3 linked regions of the Macaca fascicularis genome follow. The protein of the gene in region 1 purifies or fractionates together with the protein of each later gene. This does not show direct contact. Links are inferred from orthologs where the notes say so. Each region holds a gene or a part of one and is shown on either strand. Other genes may lie near its edges. The genes, in order: RIPK1, CYLD and CHUK.

Region 1 (3,654 bases):
TCCCCACACGACCTCATTAAACAGAACATAAGGAAGAAAATATTTCATTTTTCCTTTCAACCTATCTTCTTTCCTCAGCCCTCCATAATGTGGCTTGTATTGCCACCAGTTGATTGTCAGCAGTCCAAGAACTTCCCAACATACTTTCCAAATTTTGTCAATATTTCTGTAGGGGGTAGATCCCGCGTTTCATTAGATTCTCACAGGTGCCCTTGACCATTCAGAATTTCTGTTCTAGGTATTTTAAAAGCAAACTATGGCCTGTGGGCCACATCTGGCTCCCTGCCAGTGTTTGTAAATAAACTTTTATTGGAACACAGCCGTGCTCATTCACGTGTGTATTGTCTGTGGTTGCTTTTGCACTACAATAAGAGAGTTGAGTAGTTCCAAGAGAGACCTCAAAGACAGCAGGGCCTAACATTTCCTACTGGTTCCTTTACAGAAAAAAAAAAAAAAAAAATAGCCAATCCCATGGTTAATTAGAAAGCTGGGTTCTTAATCAAGTTGTTTTGGCCTCATGACTTTTTCCAGACTGTACTTTGGGATTAGCATTATGGGCCTACACAGTAGAACCCTGTAAGAGATAGTCCTCTTGATTTTATTACAGAAGTGCTGTGGAGGGCACAGTCTTCTATCTTGTACAGGATCTCCTTTGATGAGGGCCTGACACAGCTGTTTCTTCCAGGTCTGACCAGTAATACTGATGATGCTAATGATGAAAGTTTAACACTTTTTATAGAACTTACTATGTGTCAGGCAGTCTTCTAAGCTTTTTATACATACCAACTCATTTAATTTTCACAACAAATCCATAAATACTGTGATTATCTCCATATTAAAAACAAATAAATTGGCCGGGCACGGTGGCTCACGCCTGTAATCCCAGCACTTTGGGAGGCCAAGGCGGGTGGATCACGAGGTCAGGAGATCGAGACCATCTTGGCGAACACAGTGAAACCCCGTCTCTACTAAAAATACAAAAAAAATTAGCCGGGCGTTGTGGCGGGCGCCTGTAGTCCCAGCTTCTTGGGAGGCTGAGGCAGGAGAATGGCGTGAACCCGGGAGGCAGAGTTTGCAGTGAGCCGAGACCTCGCCACTGCACTCCAGCCTGGGCGACAGAGCGAGACTCCGTCTCAGAAAAAAAAAATAATAATAAAATAAATTACAAAGGAATTATATGGAAATTACAAAGATATTTTGCAGAAGTAACATGAGAAAACTTTCAAGAAGAATTATCAGAGAAATTTTAAGATTCCACTATGTCCTTCTCACAAGTAAGAAAGTTCAAGGTTGCTAGACATGGGGTCCCTCCAGGGTATCTTACCAAAGATAGCTTGGTACTTGGAAGCTGGCTCTTCTTTAAAGTTCGTATTTGTGCTGTCTAGTAGTGATGAACTCGTCCCACCAACCTCCATATAATTGTAGGCTCCAATCTGAATGCCAGTACTATTGTATATAGCATATTTTATAGATTCATCTGAACAAAGAGAAACACACAGGTAAGTAATTCTAGATCAAAAGCAAGAGAAAAAGTACAGCATGGCAAACAAGCAGGGCTTTACCCCAAACATTAAGTTCATTATCCTATGCCACAGTTCAAACTATTCTTCTTTAAAATCTGGCTAAACCACCTCATACCCATTAGGATGCCTACAATTAAAAAAAAAAAAAAAAGACAGAAATAACACATATTGACAAAGATGTGGAGGAAATGAAGCCCCTGTGCACTGCTGGTGGGAATGTGAAATGGTGCAGCCACTGCTATAAACAGTATAGTGGGCCGGGCGCAGTGGCTCACGCCTGTAATCCCAGCACTTTGGGAGGCCGATGTGGGTGGATCACCTGAGGTCAGGAGTTCAAGACCAGCCTGGCCAACATGGTGAAACCCCATCTGTACTAAAAATACAAAAATTAGCCAGGCATGGTGGTGGGTGCCTGTAATCCCGGCTACTCAGGAGGCTGAAGCAGGAGAATCACTTGAACCCAGAAGGCGGAGCTTGCAGTGAGCCGAGCCGAGATTGTGCCACCGCACTCCAGCCTGGCGACAGAGCGAGACTCTGTCTCAAAAGAAAAAAAAAAGAGTTATCGTGATTCTTCAAAAAAATTAAAGATAGAATTACCATATGATCCAGCAATTCCATTTCTGAGTATATACCCAAAAGAACTAAAACAGGTTCTAAGAAATGTTTCTACCCACGTGTTCATTGCAGTGTTATTCACAAGAGCCGAAAGGTGGAAATCAGCCAAGCACCCATAAGCAGATGAGTGGATAACCCAACTGTGGCCTAGCTACACAATGGAATAGTCAGCCTTGAAAAGGAAGGGAATCACATCACATGCTACAACATGCATGAACCTTGAGGACCTTTCCTAAGTGAATGAAGCCAGCCACAAAGACAAATGCTGCACGATTCCACTCATATGAGGTACCTAGAGTCAGAGTCACAGGAATGGAGAGTAGAATGGTGGTTGTCAGGGGCTGGGAGGGGAGCTGGGGAGTTGGTGTTTAATGGATACAGAATTTTAGTTTTGCAAGATCAAAACAGTTACATAGATGGATGGTGGTGATGGTTGCATAACAACATGAATGTTAGGTAATGCCACTGTAAAAATGGTTAAAATGGTATATTTTATGTTTTTGAATTTTACCATAGAAAAATGTGGCTGTCAGAAATCAGAGGTGGATGAACAGCACAGCACAGCTCAGCCACACTTCCCAGCAGGATCCCACGACTCTGAACATCTGTGAAGGGTCCTCCTCCTTTACCTGATAAACTCAAACCTCTCAGGTTCAGTATTCAGTAGCTAGCCACAGCTCTGCCCTACCCTCTGTCTCTGATCTTCCTTTCACTGTCTCCGCCCTCTCTCCACTCCAGAGACTCCAGTCCCACCAGATTTCCCACTGATCTGCTGACATGGTGCTCCTGCCTCTGCCTGGACTGTTGACCTTCCGACATGCTTCTCCCTATCTGTGATTTTCTGCCACAGGCCCAGCACAAATTCCCCCTCCTTCCGTGAGCCTGCACTGTAATCCTAGACTCAGCACTCTGCCCTGGGCCGCTCTGTATCTGAGCTGGGTCTGTCTGACTTCTCCACTAGAATGTGAGTCCCGAGAGGGCAGCAACCATACCCACTTGTTTTTGTATTCCTTACACTCGCTAGCCTGGGACTTGGTACGGGCATGGGTTCAGTGACATTCATGCTGAGCTGAATTTGTCAAGTGTCGGTACTGTCCCTAAAGAGCACTTAGCATATCCTTGTAGGAGAGAGAAGGTGGTCGAGAAGACAGTTCTGAGGAGGGAAATGAATAGCAGCTCCAGGTACCTTTGTCAGCACACCTGACCCTAAGATAGGCCGCCTTCTGGACCAGGCACCGTGCTCATTTGTTGCATTTTCTCTGAGGAAGCCAAGGAAACTAGGGACCCTCTCTAGAGACAGGTGTAAGAAATATAGGATGTGCACGCACACACCATCTGTATGTAGTTCTGGGTGTTTATGAAGCTGCTGAAACTGGGGTCCTTGGAATCCTAGCAAGGAACCGCTGTGACAGTCTCTGAGGTACCTTCCAGCGCTCAAGGCTGTCTAGGTGTTCTTGTTAACAGTGATAATAACAGTGCCAATAACAGCAGCTACCATTTACTGAGCACTTATTCT
Region 2 (3,654 bases), on another chromosome or scaffold:
TTAATTTTAAAGCCAGTGATATAATTCTTAGAACTGACCAGGGGAAGTGGCTGAAGAAGAAAGACAAAAGATGATGGCAAATTTGTTTGATTTACTAAATTTGGTTTAATATAAGGAGCCTAAATCGATTGGCCTAAAAATCAACTTTCATTCCTTGAACGTAAATCAACTAACATTAGGACAAGTGGGTCGCAAGCCTCAGGGGTGGCAAAGGGAAGTCAGGCAACATGGTGAGAAAATTCTTCTGCAGTGATAGCTTTTCTGACAAATATAACAGTTTGTCAAAAAGCATATAATAGGGTGAAATCTGCATAAAACCTCATAGAGAAAAAAATTGAAATTTTGGGGTCAAGTTAAATTACCAGTTCCAGTCCAGCAAGTACTTCATTCAGTCCTGGGGGCTGACCGATCCAACGGATTACCCCGTAGAAAGGAGGGTTCTCCTTAACTTCAGCCAGTGAGCCCACTTCTAGACCATGTGAGTTCCCAGGAGGCATAGCCAAGGGTGGACTCTCTTGCACGGGTGCAGTGTTTAGCTCTTCCATCACAGACTGGGCTGACAGAGAAAGTGGACTGTGGCCAATACTTCCATTGGTATTAGGCATCTTTGTGAGACTGAACGGTAAAGAGTGGAATCTGTTCTCGGTGGACAGTGAGTTCACAGGAGGAGGCTGGAGTGGTGGTGAAGAACGGTCAAAGTCTGTAGATATCTCTGTAAGAGATTTTGCAGGGTCTTCTGCAACTAAAAAATTATTCCTAATTAGAGAAATGTATTCAAGGATATCGACTCTGTCTTCCATTTCTAAAACTTAATATACAGATATAGTCCAACCGCCCACCTGACCTCCCTGCTATTAATAGTACTCTCATAGGCACAAAGTTACTATCTCCAACAGTGTTCTCGCTTCTCCCTCCACCTCCATATTTATGCACCTCAGTCAATGGCACCCAATTGTTCAAACCAAAAAATCTTCATCACTGGGTATCGTATAGGTGATAGTCTTTGTCCAAAATACAATTAATTGAGAAAGCAGTACAAAAAGATACCAAAAACCTTAAGAAACGCTTCTAAATAACTAATGGATCAAAAAAGAAATAATAAGTTTTAACAATAAAGAAAAAAGAGAAAAAGAAACAAAGAAAGAAAGAATCCTTGCGGAACATGGCTAAATTAATACTTATAAGGGAATTTTATAGGCTTAATTGCTTATTTCAGAAAAAAACAAAAGCTAAATATGAACTCAGCATACAACTTGGGAAGTTAAAAGAACAGAATAACCCCCAAAAAGGTAGAGAAGAATAAACTAAAGAACAGAAACAATAGAAGAGAGAAAACAAACATACAATAAGAAGTTCAAAGCCAGAACAAACACAAACACACAATGTAATTTAAGAGAAACCAAACACATGATAAAGAGAGCCACGGCCAAAAGCTATTTCCTTAAAATGACTAATACATTTGACAGGCAGGTACTGCAGATCATTGAGGGAAGAATGAACTTCTTACTAAATGCTGTTGAGATAACTGGTTATCCATATGTTTAAAAAAAATTAAACTGGAATCCTACTCATACTCTATACGAAAATCAGCTCCAGGTGGCTTAAAGACAAATGCGGCAGGCAAAACTCTAAAGGCTGGGAGACCACAGAGTAAGGCCTGTTTGCCTTTCCATTCTCATCTCATGAGTGTCATGCCTGTTTCTCTGTTCCAGTGCCTGGCAAACACTAGCTTCCATTCTTCCACTTTCCATATGCTATTTCTTCTCCCGAGGAGGTTCTGGCCCCTTTCACTTTGTCATCTGTCAATCCTCTGGTAAACCTAAGCATGTGTCACTGCCCCAAAGAAACATCTCCAAGACGCTGAGAAAAGTCATCTTTGGTGTATTCTCACAGCATCACGCACCTTCACTGCACACAGCACCAAGGCAACTCTACTTCTGTGTCTGTGGTTGTTTGATTAATTTCTGTCTCAACAACTTAACTGCAAACTCACAAAGGGCACGAACCATGTCTACTTTTTCTCGCCATTTTCATCTTGATGCCTAAAAGAATGCCTGGCAATCATAAGCACTCAATAAATATTTGTTGAACAAATGAACAAAGAAAAGAATAAACTAGACGAAAATGATGTCCCAGGACCAAGGGAAGATAAAATTTTTAAAAGGGAGTGCTTTAAAGAGGTCAGGAAGGAACCAGACAGAAATCTTCCACCCTAAATAGATCGGTTAAAGGAAAAGAACAAATTACTAATCCATTTCTTAAACATTTTAATAATCTTAACAGCAGTACAGTTCAAACTGTGTACAATATTTTAGTTCAGCAATATTACAAAGAGTGGTCTACTTACTCTGTTCCCAAAAACTACAAATATTGCTATAAAAAGCCATTTTTATTTGATGAGTTAAAAAGAAAGGATCATTATAAAGAGCACTAAAATTACAGATTACCTTCATCAATGTACCATGTATTTTTTGATTTGGATTGTGGTTGTGAGTCAACAGAAGACCCATTTAAGGTATAAAATAATTCAGATCTGTTTCTATTTCCAGGGTCTGAGGTAGATCCTATAGAACAAGAAAAGTTTCATTTAAAAATAAAGTCAATATAGCATCAAAGGTTTTTCTAGTAGAGAAATTAATATGCATATGATGTTAATAACTGTTTACATAACCAATAAATATATATAAACACAATATGTTTTTTAACTGTCTTCAGCTTTTAAAAATTTGGTAACCATTTTGGCAATATTAAAAATATTCTTCAGCCCAAAAGTCAATATAGGAGGGAAACAGGAGTAAGTGAAAAGAAAGGTCCACTCATTTAAAAAAAATGAACTGCTTTAAGTCATTGTTCCATGTACCACAGCTTATTTTTAAATGTCAAAATCACCATTCCCCAGCTTCATTTGATAGACCCACTGGTTCACAAATTTAACCTATTATTTTAAAAGAAGGTAATCCTCAAATGCTATATATAAATCGATACACAAATTATGTTTAAAAATAGTTAAGTTTTAAACATTTTGGAATTTTTGGTCATCAAATTCCTTGTATCTTTGAAAAAATCAAGCACTATTATTTCTTATAGATTGGATTTATTGTATGTAAGAGGGCAAGTGTAGCTATGCCACAGCCATTTCAAGACATTACCTTGCCTCAGTATTAATTCAAGGACATGCCACACACAGTGGGGGGCAGTGGGCTCTCCAGAACCCACAAAAAAACTGATTTTCCTTTTCAAATTAAAGTAGGTAGCTGTACATTTTATAACTTTAAGATATACTACAATACAATTAACACGACATATCTTAAGAAAATCTTTAGTCTGTTTCTATTTAAATGAGAGTAGCAAGTTTGAGCTATCCTATATAGATCTATAGGTTAACACAAAAAAGACTGTTACCTATATATCCTGTAATTAATCCTAAGTCTCCCAGGCTCCAATGTCACACAAAATAATTCTTAAAGTACAATTTCCTTTTAAATGAGCGAAAATTGTAATAATTGAGGAAAAAATATTCTTCTTCTAACCCGTATCTGAGTTAACAAAAATTCTTAGAGCCTTTTTAATGAGCTGTTTGGCTTGTATAACTACCATTCTATAAATCTATGAAGTATGTGAAAGCTAACAAAAAAAGAGCTGTAAGCTCCACAC
Region 3 (3,654 bases), on another chromosome or scaffold:
AAAATCTCAAGTTTTAGGGCATTTAAGAGTCAATATCTTGGACCAGAGGTACTATGAGTAGGGAAACAGTTTGTAACTTAGTTATACTTGGAAAATTCTTAACACTCATATGAAATAAATGCTTTTATTCAAAACCAAAAAAGGCCAACCCAAAGAATTATTTCTGAAGTTTCCTGTGACTAAGAAAAAGCTTCCACTTTAAAGATAATCCCAATATATTTGGGGAAAGGAAAACTAGAGAAAAGAACCACATAGAGGTTTAATTTGCCAGATGTAAGCAGAAAGAACAATATGCTACAAAATATAACAGATGTCAAGACCAACAACACAAGTACATCCTTACAGAGATTCCATCAAGTCTCCCTGACGTCTTCCATAGGGGCTCTTCTGTAGCTCCATGATTTCAGCATGCAAAGACATAATCTGATCCTCCAGGTATCCAATGACACCAACCTAAAATATGATGAAAATACAAAGGAAATGAAAGGCTTACCACTACATCATTGGAAACAAAATTCAGATCTTAAGGATACAGAATGACCTGCTGCTTCATTAGAGAACTAAATAATATAATATGAAACACTGATATTGTTAAAGCCTTTCTATTCTTCAGATTCTGACACTTAATCCTTCACATAAGAACACACTTATTCTTAGTCTTCTCTCTTTTCTCTCCTGACAACAGTAAACTACTAGTATTTGCTTTTACCTCTGGAGAAGCAAAAAGGTACAACAGGTGTCAACTAATAAGAAAGACCAAAACCACTGGTATTACTTGTATCTTGGCTCTATGATTTTGATTGCCTCCTGGCCCCCACTGCCTTGAATAGGGACACAAAAAGATAAAGACCTTGGATTTCCCACCCCAGGACACCATGGGTATTCCCACCCACATCCTCAGGGTAAGTACTGACATTAAGGAGTGTAATAACTTAGGACCATGGACAAATGTACAGGATAAGGGGAAGAAAATCTGCCACCTAGAGAATGATCTATACCTAGGGACACCATATAATTTATTGTCCAAACCAGTGTCATTTTGAGAGTGAAAGGGACTACTACTGATAATTATGGCAAGATATTAGGTATAAACTGGGACAGTCCCACTAAACCCAGATGTGCAGCCATCCTATCTAAACCAGTCACAAAAATAATACTGACTCCCATTTAATCTTCATAACCCTACTAGAAAAGAAATTGTGCCCATAATATGGAAACTAGCTGGATGTGGTGGCTCATGCCTGTAATCCCAGCTCTATGGGAGGCTGAGGTGGGAGGATTGCTTAAGCCCAGGAGTTTGATGCAAGTCTGGGCAATATAGTGAGACCCTGTCACTAATAAAATGTAAAAATTAGCCAGGCATGGTGGTGCACCTCTTGTCCCAGCTACACAGGAGGCTAAGATGGGAGGACTTGCTTGAGCCTGGGAAGTTGAGGCTGCAGTGAGCTTTGATCATGCCACTGCACTCCAACCTGGGCAACACAGTGACCCTGTCTCAAAAAATAAATAAATAAATAAAGGAAACTGAAGCTTAGTAAGGCACTAGGTAATTTTCAAAAAGCCCTTGTTTTTAATCACTATGATACCTCCCTCTTTATATACAAAGCATCTACTAGAATTTTGTCTGAATTTCGGGAATGACATGAAAAATGCTCTTTATATACCAAAACCAAAGACAGTTTCTAATGGAGACATCAAGAATTAATAAGTACACAGAATGTGGTCAATGATTTTACCTCAGCATAGTGGATGGCCTTTTCTTCCATTTCTTTCCATGCTTTTAGCATTTTTTCTGAAGCTAAAAGAAAAGTCTAAATTGGTTATCTCAGAAATAGCCATATCTTTAATTACTGGCCTGCCTGCCTCCTTGCCATATCAACATCAAAGATGTGTTATGAGTTGAATTGTGGCCCCCCAAAAGATATGTGGAATTCCTAACCCCCAATATCTCAGAATGTGACCTATTTGGAAATAAGGTCATTACAGAAGTAATTAGATAAATTAATACTCATACAGGAATGGTCTGGGCTCTTAATCCAGTATGACCAGTGTACTTAGAAGAGACGAGACACAGGATACAGATACACAGGGGAGAATGCTATGTGACAATGGAGACAGATTAAGGTGCTGCAACTGTAAGCCAAGGAATGCCAGTGATGGCTGGCAGACCATAAGACCATAAGAAGCTAGAGAGAAACAAGGAAAGATTCTTCTCTGCAGATTTCAGAGAAAACATGGCCCTGCCAACACCTCGATTTTGGACTTTTAGCCTCCAGGGCTGTGAGACAATAAGTTTCTATTGCTGAAGCCACACAGGTTATAGAACCCTTAGGAAATGAATACAGATGACTGTTTTCTTTCTTTCTTTTTTTTTTTTTGGGGAGATGGAGTCTCACTGTCACCCAGGCTGGAGTGCAGTGGTGCAATCTCAGCTCACTGCAAGCTCCGCCTCCCAGGTTCACACCATTCTCCTGCCTCAGCCTCCCAAGTAGCTGGGACTACAGGCGCCCACCACCATGCCTGGCTAATTTTTTGTATTTTTTAGTAGAGATGGGGTTTCACCATGTTAGCCAGGATGGTCTTGATCTCCTGACCTCGTGATCTACCCGCCTCGGCCTCCCAAAGTGCTGGGATTACAGGCGTGAGCCACTGTGCCCGGCCGACTGTTTTCTTAAAAAAAATATGTATATCAGTGTGGAGATAGGTGGATAAAGGAAAAACCAATTTTTTTTTTTTTTTTGAGATAGTGTCTCACTCTGTCACCCAGGCTGGAGTGCAGTGGCATGATCTCGGCTCACCGCAACCTCTATCTCCAGGGCTCAAGTGATCCTCCCACCTCAGCCTCCTGAATAGCTGAGGTGTGCACCACCATGCCCGGCTAATTTTTGTATTTTTTGTAGAGATGGGGTTCTACCCCACATTGCCCAGGTTAGTCTTGAACTCCTGAGCTCAAGGGATCCACCAGCTTCGGCCTCCCAAAGTGTTGAGATTACAGGCGTGAGTCACCACACCTGGCCAGAAAAGAAATTTAATACTTGAATGTGATTTTTAAAAATTAAATACTATAAAAGGATATAAACAGAAAAGACTCTGTCTTCCTCCCTTCTACCATCCACCTCAAGGGACCTTACTATGATTATTTGTTACACAGACACATACCCTGCTCCCTCGCAAGTGAAACCACTGGTATACTCTCTATTTTTTCCCACAATTTAAAACTTTTCTGTCAACTAAAGACCCAGGTGATCTTTTAATAAAGCACATACAGATCTACCTCATTCTTCTTTAACAATTGTATAATAAGCCTTTGACAAGTCTAAGGTATTTTAATGAAATAATTATATTTTATCACTTGCCAGAATGTCAATAATATACAAATAGAGATAAAATAACAATATTATTAATAAAACCAGTTCTGGAGAGTAAATTCATTCACCCAACTGGACACTATTGATTGTTTATTCTGAGATACACATACTTTGCTCAGGACAAGTGTACAAGCAGTATTTGTTTCCTAAAAAGGATTTGTTTTATAAAAGAAAACAGAAATGCTGGTAGTGACTCCTTCAATTTACTCATATTTTAACTCTGTCTTTTTACATTTCCTTAGTGCATCTGAAGGAGATAAGCTTGGAGTCAAATATTGAAAATTTG

What was found.
Region 2: the proteins of RIPK1 (region 1) and CYLD purify together in Homo sapiens (affinity purification with western blotting; 5 studies listed by BioGRID). This does not show direct contact. The link is inferred for Macaca fascicularis from reciprocal best matches to the Homo sapiens genes RIPK1 and CYLD.
Region 3: the proteins of RIPK1 (region 1) and CHUK purify together in Homo sapiens (affinity purification with western blotting; 3 studies listed by BioGRID, with this or other methods). This does not show direct contact. The link is inferred for Macaca fascicularis from reciprocal best matches to the Homo sapiens genes RIPK1 and CHUK.

The regions. Positions count from the first base shown.
Region 1 is NC_088378.1:169,961,117-169,964,770, forward strand, and holds part of RIPK1 (receptor-interacting serine/threonine-protein kinase 1), read right to left. Parts: intron 1,478-3,654; coding exon 1,325-1,477; intron 1-1,324. UniProt on the Homo sapiens protein: Serine-threonine kinase which is a key regulator of TNF-mediated apoptosis, necroptosis and inflammatory pathways.
Region 2 is NC_088394.1:46,735,846-46,739,499, reverse strand, and holds part of CYLD (ubiquitin carboxyl-terminal hydrolase CYLD), read right to left. Parts: intron 2,565-3,654; coding exon 2,448-2,564; intron 743-2,447; coding exon 363-742; intron 1-362. UniProt on the Homo sapiens protein: Deubiquitinase that specifically cleaves 'Lys-63'- and linear 'Met-1'-linked polyubiquitin chains and is involved in NF-kappa-B activation and TNF-alpha-induced necroptosis.
Region 3 is NC_088383.1:109,147,980-109,151,633, forward strand, and holds part of CHUK (inhibitor of nuclear factor kappa-B kinase subunit alpha), read right to left. Parts: intron 1,799-3,654; coding exon 1,737-1,798; intron 454-1,736; coding exon 344-453; intron 1-343.